Canis lupus familiaris: one gene and its partners. The protein of the gene in region 2 binds, or shares a complex with, the protein of the main gene of each other region. Links are inferred from orthologs where the notes say so. Each region holds a gene or a part of one and is shown on either strand. Other genes may lie near its edges.

Region 1 (4,213 bases), on a different chromosome or scaffold from region 2:
GCTTGGCGCGGTGCTTACGCTCACCCTCCCTTCTTCCCTGCAGCAGGCCAAGGAGCTGATCAATAAGTGAGTAGGCGGAGCGGGAGAGGCAAAGAGGGGCTGCCTGGGCTCGGCTGCCCCGCAGAGCGGGTTGAGGGTGCTGCGGCGACTCCAGCTGAGCGGCTGCCGCGCCGCAGGGTCGGGACAATGTCGAAAGTGGAGCTGGCAGGACGGCCAGAACCGGGCTATGAAAGCATGGAGCAGTTCACCGTGAGCGTGGAGCACGTGGCCGAAATGCTGAGGACCATCGACTTCCAGCCCGGTGAGGGAGTGAGGATGGGAGGGGGCGGCGGGCGCTGGGACTGGGCGTCCCGAGGCGACGCGGGGAAGGGGGACGGGGGACGGGGGACGGGGGGGGGGGGGGGGGGAGGTCGCGGCCAGAGAAGCAGGGACTCCACCTCACGGGGTCTTCCTGGGGGACAGGCGCTTCCGGGGAGGAAGAGGATGAGGAGGTGGCATTGGACGGGGAAGAGGGCAGCGCAGGGCCGGAGGAAGAGCGGCCGGATGGGCCGGAAGGTGAGTGTGGCCCGAGGGGCCTGGCGGGGCTGGCTCGACGCCCCGGGCCCCTCTGCAGTGAGGCCGCCCTGCGGCACCAGCGATCTTTGGTGGCCTCCCCACCCCCAGCGGGAGGGGCGCCCCCTAGCGCGCGTGCAGAAGTACACTCTCTTTCCCACCAGCCTTTCCTCTGGGGCTTTGGGAGACCAGGTTGGGTCGGGAGGTAGAGGAGAAAGCCACGTGGCTGGGGGAGAAGGGGCGAGCTGGGGTTCGGAGCTGCCTTGTTCCTCTGGAACGCCCGCCCACCGAGCTTTCTTTCCCAGGCACTGGCGGGCACTGAGCTGCTCCCTGTTGGGGAGCCCGCGCACCGGGGCCTGGCGCTGGGGTCGCGGAGGACCTGCTCAGAGACCGCTGCGCCACCCAGCTCGGCGCCCAGCCGCGGGGGAGGGGCTCAATAAAGGGCTAATGTGTTCAGACCCGCAGCTCCTTTCACTGCTCACTCTCAGTCTCGGCTTCCGAGTGACCCCATCACCATCCTGCCCTTCTCCGGATCCGGGCCCATTTGAGGGACGGAAGTGGAATGACCCCTGCGGGGCATCTCCTTGGTATCAAGCACGGTTTGGCGAGCTCAGTGCCAAGGGAAAAGGGTCGGGGTGGTGCGGCGGCACCAGCACCTGAGTTCTTGGGGGAACGATGGAGATGCGGACCCCGGGTGAAGGCCCTTCTGCCCGAGCCCTCGCGCCAGCATCTAGTTCCCCCCCGCCGGCCTGGGAGGTCGCACTTTCCCACGGGCTCCCACCCTGCTGTGGTTCCCTGCGCCCCACAACCGAGGCCAAAGGCTCTTCAGCACTTTTATTAAAAACTGGTGACGCACAGAGTGCTCAGGGCATCCCTGGGCCGCTCTAATCTGGCGGGACTGGGTCACTTCCAGTCGCGCACGTCCGGGCCCGGGGAGAGGGGACGGGGTCGAGGTTATCGCGGCTGCAGACGCCGCCGATCACTTGCCCACCGACTCGAATATGATGCGGTTCTGCTCGGCGCGCTCCCGCTGGCTCTGCGTCCGCGCCAGCTCCAGCAGGGTCCGCAGCAGGTGGAAAGTGAGATCAATGGACAGCGGAGGGTCGTCCCGCCTGGGCCGCTCGCCCGCGGTCCGGGATCCCCACCGGCCCGGCCCCGCGCGGCGCGGGAAGCGTTCGGCCAGCAGCAGGAGCAGCGCGCGGGCGCCGCCGTCCTGGTTCCGCGCCCCGGGGTTCCAGCGCAGACTTGGGTCCTGGACCCCGGCCGCCGCCGCCTCCCGGCTCCATTGGCTGCTCCCCGGGCGCAGCTGTGCCAGGAGCAGCAGCGCCATCAGCAGCGCCGCGCGTCCCCTCTGCTTCATGGTGCCGCCGGCCCTGGACAGACAGGGGGAGCGCGGGGTGAGGTGCGTCCCGGGCAGTCGCAAGTGGCGCCACTCCCCTTCCCACGCGCATCCAGCCCCGCGGCCGGGCCCCTGCGGCTGCCGCCTGGTGCCCACAGCCTTCCCTCCAGTCCCAGCTGCTGCCCCAGCCCGGTGCCACCCTGTCCTCCCTCTCTCCCTTGAGGCGGGCGAGTCGTGGTGGGAGAGCTGAGCGCCGTCCTGGTGCTTCAGGAGTCAGGCTGGATGCTCCCAGCTACTCACAGGTTGCCGGAGAGTGTCCTCACGCTGCAGGACGGGGCTCCAGTCTCCGGCCGTCGGGTGGGCTGAGGGCGCCTTGGGGAACACGGGGTCTGTCCCGGGACCGCCGCCAGCCTTATATAGCCCCAGGACAGCTCGGACTGACGTCAGCGAGGGACATGTACTGATTGTAGAAGCAGTGACGGCCGCAGCTTGGAGTCCGGCCGCTTGCTTGCAAGACCCAGAGGGGCGCACCTCACAACCCTCCACTCTGGGTCCTGCTGCCAGTGCTGCAAGCGCCCCTGCCTTCAGGGCGGGAGAAGCTGCTGGGGCATTACCATTGCTCTGGGAGCCATGAGAGTCCTTTACCTGCGTATGACAGCCAGTAGGGACTAGGGCCAGCCCCCTTATCAGACCAGTCAGGTGGCCGATGTTCTATGGCACACAGAAGAGAGGCTGGACCTCAGGGCTGTCGGTGGTGATCACTCTGCTCTTGGCCTCTAGAAGGGGCCAGAGGCATCGGGAGAAGGTTGTGCTGCTCAGGCCTAGTCCCTAGTCCTTAGTATCAGTTCTGCAAACTAAGGCAATCCGGAGCACAGCTGGCTCCCAGCTCCCACTCTGCTACCATCCCAGAGGCAGCAAGGCAGTGAGGCAGCCCACCTGCCAGGATTCTTGAGCTTATTCCAGCCCCATGGTCTAAATTCTAGGGTGGTCTGGCTGAGGCACCATTTATTTTAAAAAGAGCCTCTGGCCTCTGGGGGCTTTCAGACCACAAAAGGCAGGTCCATCTGCTTCTGAGTTTGCTGCAAAGTAGTGTTTTTACCAAGTTAGTTTTCTTCTGGGAATCACAGCAGTAGTATTACTGTACCTTTGACCTCCAGTTAAGATCACTTGGTAGGAAGTAAGGGAACCTTAGTCTCTTCATGCTGCTATACCAAAAATACAATCAACTCTGTATTTTATAAACATCATTTATTTCTCACAGTTCTAGAAGCTGGGAGGTCCAAGCCCATGGCACTGGTAGATGTGGTATTCACTAACTTTTCCTTCTTGGTGTGTCCTCACATGGTGGGAGGGGTGAGGGATCTGTCTGGGGCTGTTTTAAAAGGGCACGAATCCCTCATGACCTAATCACCTCCCAGAGGCCCCACTGCCTAATGCCATCACCCTGGGCATTAGGTTTGCAACAGATGAATTCTGGAGGGCATACAAACATTCATCTATAACATGTGTGTTCAAGTTTCCACTCTGCCACTGGTTGGTGGTGTGGACTTGCCATCTCACTTCTGTGGACCTCAGCATGCTCATCCGTGGGAGAACATTGGGATTGGTTGTCTCTAGACTTCTTTCTAGCTCTAGAAGTTCTAACTGCCCCCATAGATTTCTGCAAGTTTCAAACTATGTATTTAATAACAGATTTCCGGAGGCACCATATAAAGTGTTTAGGGCCCCAGAAGAGCCAGAGCTCCAGGTGGGCTGGGAAGGTTATAGAGAGCAGATGTGTCTGTGAAGTGTGGGGACAAGTGGCATTGCTGGGATACAGGTACAAACTACAGCTAACAAGACTGTACACAATTACAGAGTGCCTACTGTGTGGTGGGCATAAGACCATTATAAAGGTTGAAATTATTTCAAAAGGAGTCAGGTGCTAAGCCTGTTAAGTTCTGAGTGGCAACGGGACCCCAGGAAAGCCGATGGAGGGCCTTTCATTCTCCATGAGCACTTGGAGGAGGCCATCTGGCCACACTGGGGGTCATGCTGCAGCACGGCAGGCGCCGACACCGGAGTGAGGCCGGCCTAGAGCCGGTGTGCCTTCCATGACAGGTAGGAGTTCCAGATGACAGCAACACACTGGACGACAGCCAGCCTGCAGAACAGAGGTGGCATTGTCAGGGTGAAAGAGGAGGAAGAGCAAGCAAAGGGGCAGAGCTGGGAAAGGAGGGCTTGGTTTCTGAGCACGTCCACACTGAGGTCTCCTTCCTTCAGCCCCGAGGGACAGAGGGACGTGTGGCTCGGGCCAGAGGACAAGCAGGTCGGGGTCAGGTA
Region 2 (4,758 bases):
ACCTTAGACCAAAGTCAGGACTTCAGAGCTGGAAGGACTCTATGAGACCATCAGGATTTGTTTCTATTAAATCCATGGAATCTTTTGTAAAACAAATCTTAATATTCATTAAAAATGTATATGGACTTTTCTATGTACCAAACATTCTAAATGCTTAATATTGTATGAACTCATATCATTCCCACAAAAACCCTTTTTTGCAGGAGGTGGTTTTATAGGATTCCCATTTTACAGATGAGGAAACTGAGGCACACCGTAATAACAAGCCCGGGGTCATATAACTACTTTATGATGGGTCTGTGATTCAGAACCTGGGCCGTCTGACTCCAGAGACTGCCAGTAACCCTTATGCTGTTTGTGAAATCCCAAGACAGATAAGGGAGCCCGGATCCACCTGGCTAGCCAGCTCCACCTCAAGGACAGCACTGCTGGGGACACTCATCGAACCCAGCCCCCAGCACCCTTCCTATATGGACAAAGAAACTGTGGCCCCAACAGGGAAGGTGATGTGGCCCAAGGTCCTTAGGAAGCATCATGCAGAGCTGGGCTGAGAGCCTGTACCTCGGGGCTCAGGGGAGGAGGTGACTTACTTCTCATTGTCGTAGTACAGCTTCCCGATGGCCCAGGCCACGATGATGGGGAAAGGCACACCTGGGGAGAGACTGGCTGTCACAGAGCTCATGGGTGGGAGACACAAGGCCTGGAAGACCCTAGTGCAGCCCAGGGCCTAGAAGTGCGAAGGGGTTCTCCAGGGTAGAGCTCGAACTCACTCATCCGGCATGCTGCACTCCATCCCCAAGTCGGGGCAGACTGCAACTCTCACCCCACCACCCTGACCTGGCCCCGGGCTCTCAGGTCCCTTAGCCAGCTGGCCAGAGTCTGGGTGAGGAGGGGGCGCAGGGCACTCACCCCAGCCGATGCAGATGAACATCCACTTGCGCAGCCGGTCAGTGGAGTAGGTAAGCACAATGGCCGTGTGCAGGTAGCAGCCCTCCCCAAACATCCAGAAGAAGTTGGTCACGTGGAAGTAGTTGTAGGCAGCTGTCACCAACCTGCACCAGCCCTACCACCCCACCCCCACCAGAGATGACACTTAGACTGGGGATGGGGTATGACGGCAGCAGCACCCCACCCTGGGCCTGGGACCTCCTCTTAATAGGATTCCCCCCATTGTCCCCCTCATCCTGCAGGGAGCCACTCCCATTATACTGGGCCTCAAGGCCTGTGCCTGGCCCATTTTCACCAGGGCACAGTCCCACCCAGACCTTCCCTCTGACCCTGTGCCTGCCCCTCCAGGACACACCACATTGCTCTGGTGGACTTCGGGGCTCATGGTGAGCTGGACCACAAACCACGTGGCATTGCGCAGGATGAAGGCCGAGATAAGGTTCCAGTGGATGATGTTTCTCAGGCACCGGATACTCCTGGGAGGCAGCGGGGGAGGGTGGGAGGGTGATGGGAGCAAGGGAGGAAAGAAGAAATGAGGGACAGGCCACCAGCCTCACTCCAATCCAGATGTATGGATGGGGAAACTGAGGACCGGGCTGACTGGCTGAGTCACACTGGGAGGTGACAGCAGAAGCTCTCTTGATGCCCCACAGACCCCTTCCTACCTGAGACGCATCCAGACCTAAGGTCTGGGGCAGAGTCTGCTACATAGCAGATGCTCCAGGGACCAGGGGCTTCTGGCTTACTGGGGACCACCTCCTCCCATAGCACCCCTACTTTCCCTGTAGCTCTAGGGTCCAAAGACATAAAAGGTTTCCAGTGGGATGCCTCTCTCCCAGCGTTCAGGCCTGATACTCAGCTCCTGCTCCCACCCCCATTCCTGGCACAGACCTGCCTGGCACTGCTAGCTGCCTCCTTCCAACCCAAAGGCTCCCCCTTCCAGGCCTCCCAGATGGGTGCATCCATGCGTGGGTGGGGGTGGCACAAGGCAAGCCTGGGCTTCAGCCATCACTGGTCCCCCCAGTAGTTACTGGGCTGGGTGGGGGGCAGAAATGGCCCTGCCAGAGGTTCCAAGAGACCTGGAGCTCCTATGTCTGTCCCCCTCCCACAGAGGTGAGGGGGCAGGGGCCCGTCTTGCCAGCAGCCCCTCCCCCAGGGCTGCTTCCTGTGTCTCACTTTTCTACCCTGCTCAAGGCCAGAGGCCAACACTGAGTCTTTCTCACCTGAGCCGCAGAAAGAGGACAAAGGCCACCAGGAGGGCCACCAGGGAGATGCAGTGGCCCAGGTAGTTGATGATGACAGCGACATGGTAGTGTACCTTGCTCTTCTTCTGAAGTAGGGGAGAGGAACAGAGGTGAGGCTCCTATATAGCTGCACCCCTGCACCCGCTCGCCATGTAAGGACACCCCCCTCAGCTGGTGGAGATGGAGTTGGTACTAACGGTAGTTATTCCCCTTCCCGAACCCGGGCTGGGTGTCGAGCATGGCCCTGGAGTGGGGCTGTCCAACTTGAGCCTGTGTCTGTCTCTGAATCCCATGCTCTGCCCATTGCTCCATGCGGTTGGACAAATACCAGCTAACTCGGGTCTCCACGTCCCACGGGGTTCCCTACTCCACGTGCACAAAGGTGTGTGCACGCTTCTTACATGCAAGTTTCTGCTCTGCCCAAATACCACATGGCCCTCGTGACCGCGGACACCAACCCTTTAGGACTCTTTTCCTCACTCACTTCCGAGTGGAACCACTAGGGATGATTACCCCCAAATCCCTCCTGCTGCAGTGGGAGCCTGCTCCTATCAGCCATGGGAGGGATGGCAGGTGCACCCACAGAGCCATTACAGGCCATAAAAAAAAAATCTCTCTTCGCTCTGTAACTCACTTTCCAGGCCCTGCCCCCTGGCCCTGGGGAAGAAATGGGCTCCCTTCCCAGGATTGTATCAAAGTCCCCGATGTTACCACTGCCTTCATTTCATAGACTAAAGGAAGCTGAGAGATGTGGTGGTCTCCTGTTTCCAAGGTAAGCTCCATAAAATGATGAAGCCTTTCCATGTACAGGGTATTTTCATACTGGTGGTCTTCTCAACCTGTCAAGGCCACCATGTAGGAGGACCTGGAAGAGGGTCTATACCTTATTTTGCAGAAAACCAGGCACAAAAGTATGTTGACTCATTCAAGGTCCCTCAAACTCAAACCACCTCTGGACCAGCACAGGCAGACCGGCAAGGTGTCTCCTACCCCATAATGGGGGACCGATGGTCCCCAGTGCCCAGCTCTATGCAGACTCCTGTCCTCCAGTATCAAAGCCTCCCTCCACCCTATCCTAGGTCCCGAGAGGGCAGGGCCCAGGGACCCAGGGTCTGGCACAGCAGAGCTCCGTAACTGTGTGTTGTGTGAAGGAAGCAAAAAGCAACCTGCTTTGCAAAGGGGGTGTGTACGGGGGTCCTTGTTAGCACCTCCTCCCCTTATTCTTTCCAGGTTCTGGAGTGGGGCCAGGCCATGAGTCACACAGAAACTGGCTAGTGTTGAGAAAAGGGTAAGTTCTTGAAGGCCTTGTTCAAACTTTCAGAGATACCAAAGAATGCCTGGCTCTCCCTAGACCTTCCTGTCAGAATTCCAGAATCTGTGGATGTCAGAGCTGGTCCTAAGCATCGAGTCCAATCCTACTCTTCTTCTAGATGAGGAAACTGAGGCCCCAACTCACTCACCCAAGATCAAAAGATGTACCTCTGCAGCAGGACACCTAGCAGGCATCGGAGAGGAGTCCAAGCCCTCCCTTCCCCGCTCTTCCGAGTGCCCAGCACAGGGCCCTCCTGCAGGCACATCCTCACTGAAGAACCTCCGAGGTTCTGGAAGGCCCAGGGAGCTCTGTTCTAAGGGGCTGATTTTCCTGGCAGAGGCTTTCAGGAACGTGGCAGGAAATCACATTAGCAACTCTGCGCTCAGAAGGGTTGAGACTCACTGAGGTGTAAATGAAGACAGAGAAGCAGGGGAGAGAGAGGGAGAGAGAGAGGGAGGGAGGGGAGCAGAGGGTACCCATCGCCACCGTGCAGATGGGAAGGGTCTCGGAGTGCCTGGCAGTAGATGCCAAATCCAAAGACTCCAGGAGATATGAACACATCCAGCCTGTCTGGGAGCTGCTACTTAATTTCCTTTCATTAGATTTCCCACAAATCCATGCTGTGGAGCTCCTGAGTAATAACGATGCCTGGGAGCTAAAGGGCGTGACGCCCCAGCTTTGTCTGCAGGCCCAGGTGGGCAAGACGAGCGGGGTGTGTGGGGAACCCCTTCACCACCACGTGCCATCAGCTACCCCCTGCCCGCCGCGACCCTGCTGCAGGCTGAGCCTGGGTCATTGGGTTTGAGGCAGGATGAGTGGGGTTTATTAAGCACCTACTGTATGCTGGGCACTGTGCCGGGTGCTTTATAGATGCTACAGCTTTCCTTTCTCACAATAGCCCTCAGAGACTGTCCTTCTGTCTCTGTTTTTCCAGTTGAAGAGGCTGCATAATTAGCCCGAGCTGCCCGGCCAGCAATGGGAATCCAGGTCTGCTTGGCCTTCTAGATCCCCTCCTCCCCAGTGCATTTCTAGGAGACAAACGGGCTGAGAACAGGCACTCTCACTGTCTGGGGCCCAGGATCCTCAGAGGGCTTCTGCAGGGAGGATGGGGGCTGGTGAAGGGTTTTCTCCACCAAGGCTGAAAGGGGAGAACTGGGCCAAAGCATTCAGGGGGCTGCTTCTGTGTGACTCCTCCAGCTGGAAGGCCCTGGCTGGTCGGAGCCCTGGGGCAGTCTGAGAGATGGCAACCAGCCA
Region 3 (5,198 bases), on a different chromosome or scaffold from region 2:
CTGGTGACACTTTCATAGTCCAGAAGGCTGAAGGCCTAGGACATTTCCGGTGATATTTTTCTAATCTTAGTTAGATATGCAGATATCAAGCACTTAAACTGAAACAGAATTTCCAGCAGGAACTGTATACTTGCTTATGTATCTACTGAGGCACCAACCTGGTGAACTGCAGAATAACTGCATGTATTTAAATATATATATACACACAATACACATTTAAAATACATATATATTTAAATCGTGCTTTTTTGTCCCACCATAATGCCTCTTTCAAAATAGTAACAAATAAGTGTTACTTTATTCTGTATGAACTCTTAAATAAATGCTGTTTTTAACAACTTAGTCTTATAATGACTTATTCAGTGTTTCATGTGATCTTATTAATAGTCAAGTGTATTTAAAGGGTCCCAAGGGAAAAACATCTCCATACACCCAAATTAATTTGGGGGTATTAAACATTCAATTGAATTTTTGTAAGTTAACCCAACTATCAAAGATAAATGCATGGTAAAACTCATTGGATGTGCCTGTTCCATTTTAGAAATGCATGGAGATAGTTAATATTCTTAAGAATAACAGTGATTAGGATTCATATAGAAATAAATGAGAAGACCATTTGCAAAGTTATTAAAGTCAAATATTTTTTATGTTTAACATTTTCCCAAGTGCCATTTCATAGCAATTAAATTTGTTGCTTGAAGTGGGAAGCTATCAAGTTTCTCCTATTAAGAAGTAGGCACTGGAAAATAGCACAGAAAAAGTATATTTTACAGTACCAAAGTAGTAGCTTGATAAAGTGAGTCTTTCTCAAACCTAAAACAAAAACAAACAGTATGTTGGCCCTACAGTTTAGAGGAATGCTCTGCGAACCCCTCTCTTTGCCTTTCCTCTGTCCCCGCCCTCTCCAGTTATTTACCCTCTTATAATAATCAGGGTTAAGTGTTATTTCCATTATGAATTTATCTTCCATTCATAGAATTACCAAGTCTTAAAGCGGGAAGAAACTTCCCAAACTATTTAACTTAACCTCAGAGGAGTAACTGAGGTACAAAGATGAGTCCAAGGCAATTGAAGTATCTGTGTAAGCCACTTGCATATGTTTGTATTTTTAGTAGGAAATTAATGCAAGGAGTTTTGTTTTCTCTTGTGCTGAAGTCAGCATGTAGGAAGCCAGGAGCTGAGAGTTTTACTCCTATGAACATTAAAAAGGAAAAATAAGGTCATGATTACCTTTGCAGCTTTTATTAAAAATATAAATATTCAACATTGTCTTACACAACCAAATTGACCAAGGATTGGAAAGATGTTTTATTACTGGAACTTTTACAGGAAGGTTGATTCAAAGAGCTTACAGATTTTGTTTCACCCACCCAAGAGAATGACATTCTCTTTGGCTCAGACCACAACAAAATAAATCGGGTAACTTTTGTCTGCTTCAAAACATTTCCTTCTGGGTCTATACTTTTCAAACACCATTAAAGACACCTGGAAATGGAAACTGAAAGTAGACAATAGAAATAACATTTTGTTGCTGTTACTGCACGTGGATACACTTTGTGCATGCTAATTAAGGAGTATAGGCTCTCTTGCTGTACATCGTCTAGGCTTCAAGCTTTAAAAAAATAAACAAATGGTATCAGAGCAACGATATGGTACAGAATACTGTATTATTTTAATTTTTTTTGTGTGTGTGTGCTAAATGCTGCATCTTTTTGGCCAAACGCACCGTTTTATTTCCCAATAATCTCCATCAGTTTCCTGTTGCTGTGAGCTTGCTGCGCTAACTGCTCGGCCCTGGCCATTTCCAAGACTTCTCGGAGGAGGTGGAAGGTGAGATCCAGCGAGATGGGAGGTTCCTCGGATCGTCTCTCCCTCTCCGGGGTCTCTTGGCGGCTGCCGAGGGCGTTCTCCTCCCCGCGCTCGGCGGGACCAGCGGGGCTGTCGAGCTGGCGGCGGGGCAGCGGCAGCTGCTGCAGCAACGCGCGGAAAAAGTTGGCGGCCGCCTCGTCCGGCGAAAGGCGGCTGCCGCTGCCGCCAGCGACAGGTGAAGAGGCGGGCAGGAGGGGAGCAGCGGGGCTCTTGTTGAGGTTACCCAGGCGGAGGAAATACTCCTCCCCCATGCGGAGCAGGACGGGCCGAGCCTGCGGCTGTTGGGGCTGCTGGGGCTGCGGCGGCAGCTGGAAGAAATCCAGGGGCTGGGGGTGCTGCGCAGCCTGCCGGGCGCCCGGAATGGGCCCCCGGCTGAGCAGGGCCCTGCATGGTGGGCAGGGCAGGAGAGCCACCAGCAGGACGCCCGCGGACAGGAGCAGGGGCAGCCGCATGTTAAGGGCACTCGCTGCGGCACAGAGGTGGGCGGAGAGCGGAATGAGAGAAGGGAAGAGAGAAAGAAAGAGTTGGTCAGAGTTCAGCTCAAAAGGGAGGCGCGCTCGGGGTCTTCCTACAGGACGCGGGTGGACGCGCCTCGGGGTTCGGGCAGGCACTGTCCGCGGTGCTGAAGCTCTCGAACCAGGACGTCTAGAGTTGGAGTTGCCGTGGGGGCGGGGGGGGGGGGGGCAGGCAAGGGGACGCCTACAGCTTAGCACCAAAGCTCAGCCCCTCGCTAGGCTGGAGTGACCCTTCTTCCGAATCCTCGAAGGGTCTCTGGGTCCCCTTTCTAACGATCCCCAAAACGGATTCCCCGAGCTCTAGAGAAGATCTACACATTTTAGATCTCACCCACTGTAATAACCGCCCCTCTTTCCGGGTGTTTCGGCGTTGTCCTCCAAATTGAGAACTGCTGCCTCCTCCTCCCCTTTCTCCATCCCAGCCCTTTGTGTCCTTCTCTCAGGGGTCGGGATCGATGGCGGGGACTCATCTACAAAGCCAGCGAGGAGTAACTGACAGTTCCAATAACGATTAGCAGCCGTCTAAGTTTGCTTTTGACACATCCCGGCTACTACCGGCATCCTGAGGCACAGTCAGCAAACACACACATGCACACACACTCACACTCACACATATGCCCTCACAGGGACACCCGGCTCTGCCGCGCACACCATGGCAGCTCAGGCAACGCAAAGTTGGAGGCGCGGTTCCGTCTAGGCGCTCCCTACCTTCTGAGGTGCTTCTGCAGGTGAGTGGGGCGCTGCCGCCTCTCAGCAGAGGAACGTCTCCGGGGCTTTTTCAGGGGCTTTCTTCCCTTCTCCTTTCTGTCCTCACTTTTTTTCTTCCCCTCTTATCTTTCTCTTCAGTCTCTCAACGGACTTGGGCTCTGAGTTTCTCCACACCAGAGCCTGGAGTGGGATTTTATAGCGTCGACCCTCTTCAGAAACCACGCAGCATTTGCCTAATAAGCTGACGCTCTCTTGACAGCTCGATTGCGTGCTGCCTCTGCTCCTGCATAAATCATAGGGCCCTGCCAGAGAACGAGGGGCAGAGTTTTGCTATCTCAACACTGAATCTCACATCCAATTATATCAACAGATATTTATCGCCTCCTTGGTGACGTCAACGAGCCCTAAAATGGAAGGGCTTCTTATGACTTGTCCATTGACAAAAATTCTTGAATGAGATTTCCCAAATGTAAAAACATACTGACCTCTTACTAGGAAAGGTCAAATTTGGAGTCAGAAAGAGCATCAAATGAGAGGGGAGGGGGAAAGAAAGTGTAAGGGACAGGAGGTCAATTAATCCACAGTCCTATGAGGAAAGCAGCAACCAATTCTAAGGGCTGGATCTGGATTCTCCTCTTTCCTCTCCCTTCTAACTTCTCTGACCAGTTGTCTCTGGCAACACCTCAGTGTCTGAAAATATCCCTTTTCTAGAGACAAGTGTCCCATCACCTTTCTGCCTGGTTAAGAATGATGAACAAGGAGATAGAAGTGCAGGGATATCTAGTTTTTAAGCTTCTACCTGCTTTTTCTTCCCAAGAACAAATAAAAGAATTATTAGTCTACAGAAGCAAGACCAATAAGTCTCTTGAAATGAGGCTCAAGTTTTTTAAATGGTTGGCAGGAGCCTGCTTCCATGATGAAATGGCCCAAACCAGGGTCAGTTGGGAATGCAGGAAGATTTTAAATTCCCCCCCAAACTTCACTGCCCTTCCTTGGTCTCTCCTGTCAGAATCCAAAATTAATTGTGGATTTTTCTATTCCCAAATTAGAGAGAGAAAGGATAAGTGAGAGGTGCATGAGCTATACATCTTCATGGTCTACTTGATGGAAACACAGTGAGAGAAGCATCTATTCTAACTTATCCTATATTGGGAAAGGCTTAAACTGCCTGATAACAGTGCCAAATTCATCAGTTGCATATTTTCATTGATGAATATCAAGCCCATAAAAAGATAATCTCATTCATTTTACTCCTAAATACTATCAACATCCATTATAGTATCCACATCAGGGACACCCAGAGTTTTTTTTTTTTTATTGTTTCTTATCAGGAAACCTGATAAATACATAAATGCTCTCTGCATTACCACAAAATGGAATGCTAGGCTTGTAAACCAATACTCAAATTTCAAATTAAATTGACACTATCATATAAGTAGGAGGTAGTTACCTCTAATTTTGCGTTTCTAAATGCAATTCCAAACTCTGGTGTCTGTGATTTAATTCAGCTTCTAGATAACCATCAAAGCTGTTTATCAGAAATCTCCTATTGCTCATTTCTGGTTAGCTCTGCTGCTTCCTTTGTAGCTATATGATAAATGATACAACACACATTTCTACTCCTATTTTGGATCTATACTAATCCAAAACTGCTTTTAGAAACAAAAGGAAGGTAGAAAGAGAAATGCTGGCAGTTTCCAGAGAATCCACCCCATAGTTGGATCATTGTGCTATGGAATATACTTTGAGATGAAATGTACATAAGAGAACAAAGAAATGTGTCTTCTGGGAAACATGTAGGTTGTTAATAGAAGATCAAAATTATAGAAAATGGTTAAGCTTCTACAGGAAAGCAGTGTTTTATGTTGATAGGGGACACAGAGAAACTTGGAGGTTTTTGTGAGCTTTTTTTCCCCTTTGAATGGATCTTAACTTCCTCTGCTTACTTTCCTTTATCGCCCCTTCACTGTCCCAACTGGCAGAATCCAGTTAGATGTCAATCTGGAGGTGGAAGGAGATTTGGAAGACATTCAGGAAACTGGATACAGAAGAACAACTAGGAAAGGGATAAGACTGTAAGTTTAGCTGGGAAGGCATAAGAGTTTC

The links. The genes of interacting proteins can lie anywhere in the genome.
Region 1: the proteins of CRHR1 (region 2) and UCN are in contact, whole or in part, in a cryo-EM structure (PDB 6PB0), measured with the Homo sapiens proteins. The link is inferred for Canis lupus familiaris from reciprocal best matches to the Homo sapiens genes CRHR1 and UCN. Residues at the interface, in NP_004373.2 of Homo sapiens: Leu106, Asn107, Glu109, Lys113, His117, Val120, Asn123, Trp169, Val172, Gln173, Ser177, Pro178, His181, Gln182, Thr192, Tyr195, Asn196, His199, Phe203, Phe260, Gly261, Lys262, Pro264, Tyr270, Tyr272, Gln273, Met276, Ile277, Tyr327, Phe330; in NP_003344.1 of Homo sapiens: Asn84, Pro85, Ser86, Leu87, Ser88, Ile89, Asp90, Leu91, Thr92, Phe93, His94, Leu95, Leu96, Arg97, Leu99, Leu100, Glu101, Leu102, Ala103, Arg104, Thr105, Gln106, Gln108, Arg109.
Region 3: the proteins of CRHR1 (region 2) and CRH are in contact, whole or in part, in a cryo-EM structure (PDB 6P9X), measured with the Homo sapiens proteins. The link is inferred for Canis lupus familiaris from reciprocal best matches to the Homo sapiens genes CRHR1 and CRH. Residues at the interface, in NP_004373.2 of Homo sapiens: Lys113, Tyr116, His117, Ala119, Val120, Asn123, Trp169, Val172, Gln173, Met176, Ser177, Pro178, His181, Thr192, Tyr195, Asn196, His199, Phe203, Phe260, Gly261, Lys262, Tyr267, Tyr272, Gln273, Met276, Ile277, Leu280, Tyr327, Phe330, Phe331; in NP_000747.1 of Homo sapiens: Glu156, Pro157, Pro158, Ile159, Ser160, Leu161, Asp162, Leu163, Thr164, Phe165, His166, Leu167, Leu168, Arg169, Glu170, Leu172, Met174, Arg176.

What each region holds. Positions count from the first base shown.
Region 1 is NC_049238.1:21,343,100-21,347,312, forward strand, and holds UCN (urocortin), read right to left. Parts: upstream 2,691-4,213; 5' UTR 2,192-2,690; intron 1,926-2,191; 5' UTR 1,913-1,925; coding exon 1,532-1,912; 3' UTR 1,372-1,531; downstream 1-1,371. Other genes in the region: TRIM54 (tripartite motif-containing protein 54), read left to right, coding at 44-66, 177-301, 463-555, 858-874; protein Mpv17, read right to left, coding at 3,965-4,034. UniProt on the Homo sapiens protein: Acts in vitro to stimulate the secretion of adrenocorticotropic hormone (ACTH). Binds with high affinity to CRF receptor types 1, 2-alpha, and 2-beta. Plays a role in the establishment of normal hearing thresholds.
Region 2 is NC_049230.1:17,145,873-17,150,630, reverse strand, and holds part of CRHR1 (corticotropin-releasing factor receptor 1), read right to left. Parts: exon of another isoform or gene 4,439-4,758; intron 3,481-4,438; exon of another isoform or gene 3,423-3,480; intron 2,965-3,422; exon of another isoform or gene 2,279-2,964; coding exon 2,172-2,278; exon of another isoform or gene 1,511-2,171; intron 1,425-1,510; coding exon 1,304-1,424; exon of another isoform or gene 1,297-1,303; intron 1,064-1,296; coding exon 910-1,063; intron 652-909; coding exon 591-651; intron 582-590; exon of another isoform or gene 371-581; intron 1-370.
Region 3 is NC_049250.1:16,297,002-16,302,199, forward strand, and holds CRH (corticoliberin precursor), read right to left. Parts: upstream 3,672-5,198; 5' UTR 3,093-3,671; intron 2,336-3,092; 5' UTR 2,322-2,335; coding exon 1,731-2,321; 3' UTR 1,227-1,730; downstream 1-1,226. UniProt on the Homo sapiens protein: Hormone regulating the release of corticotropin from pituitary gland. Induces NLRP6 in intestinal epithelial cells, hence may influence gut microbiota profile.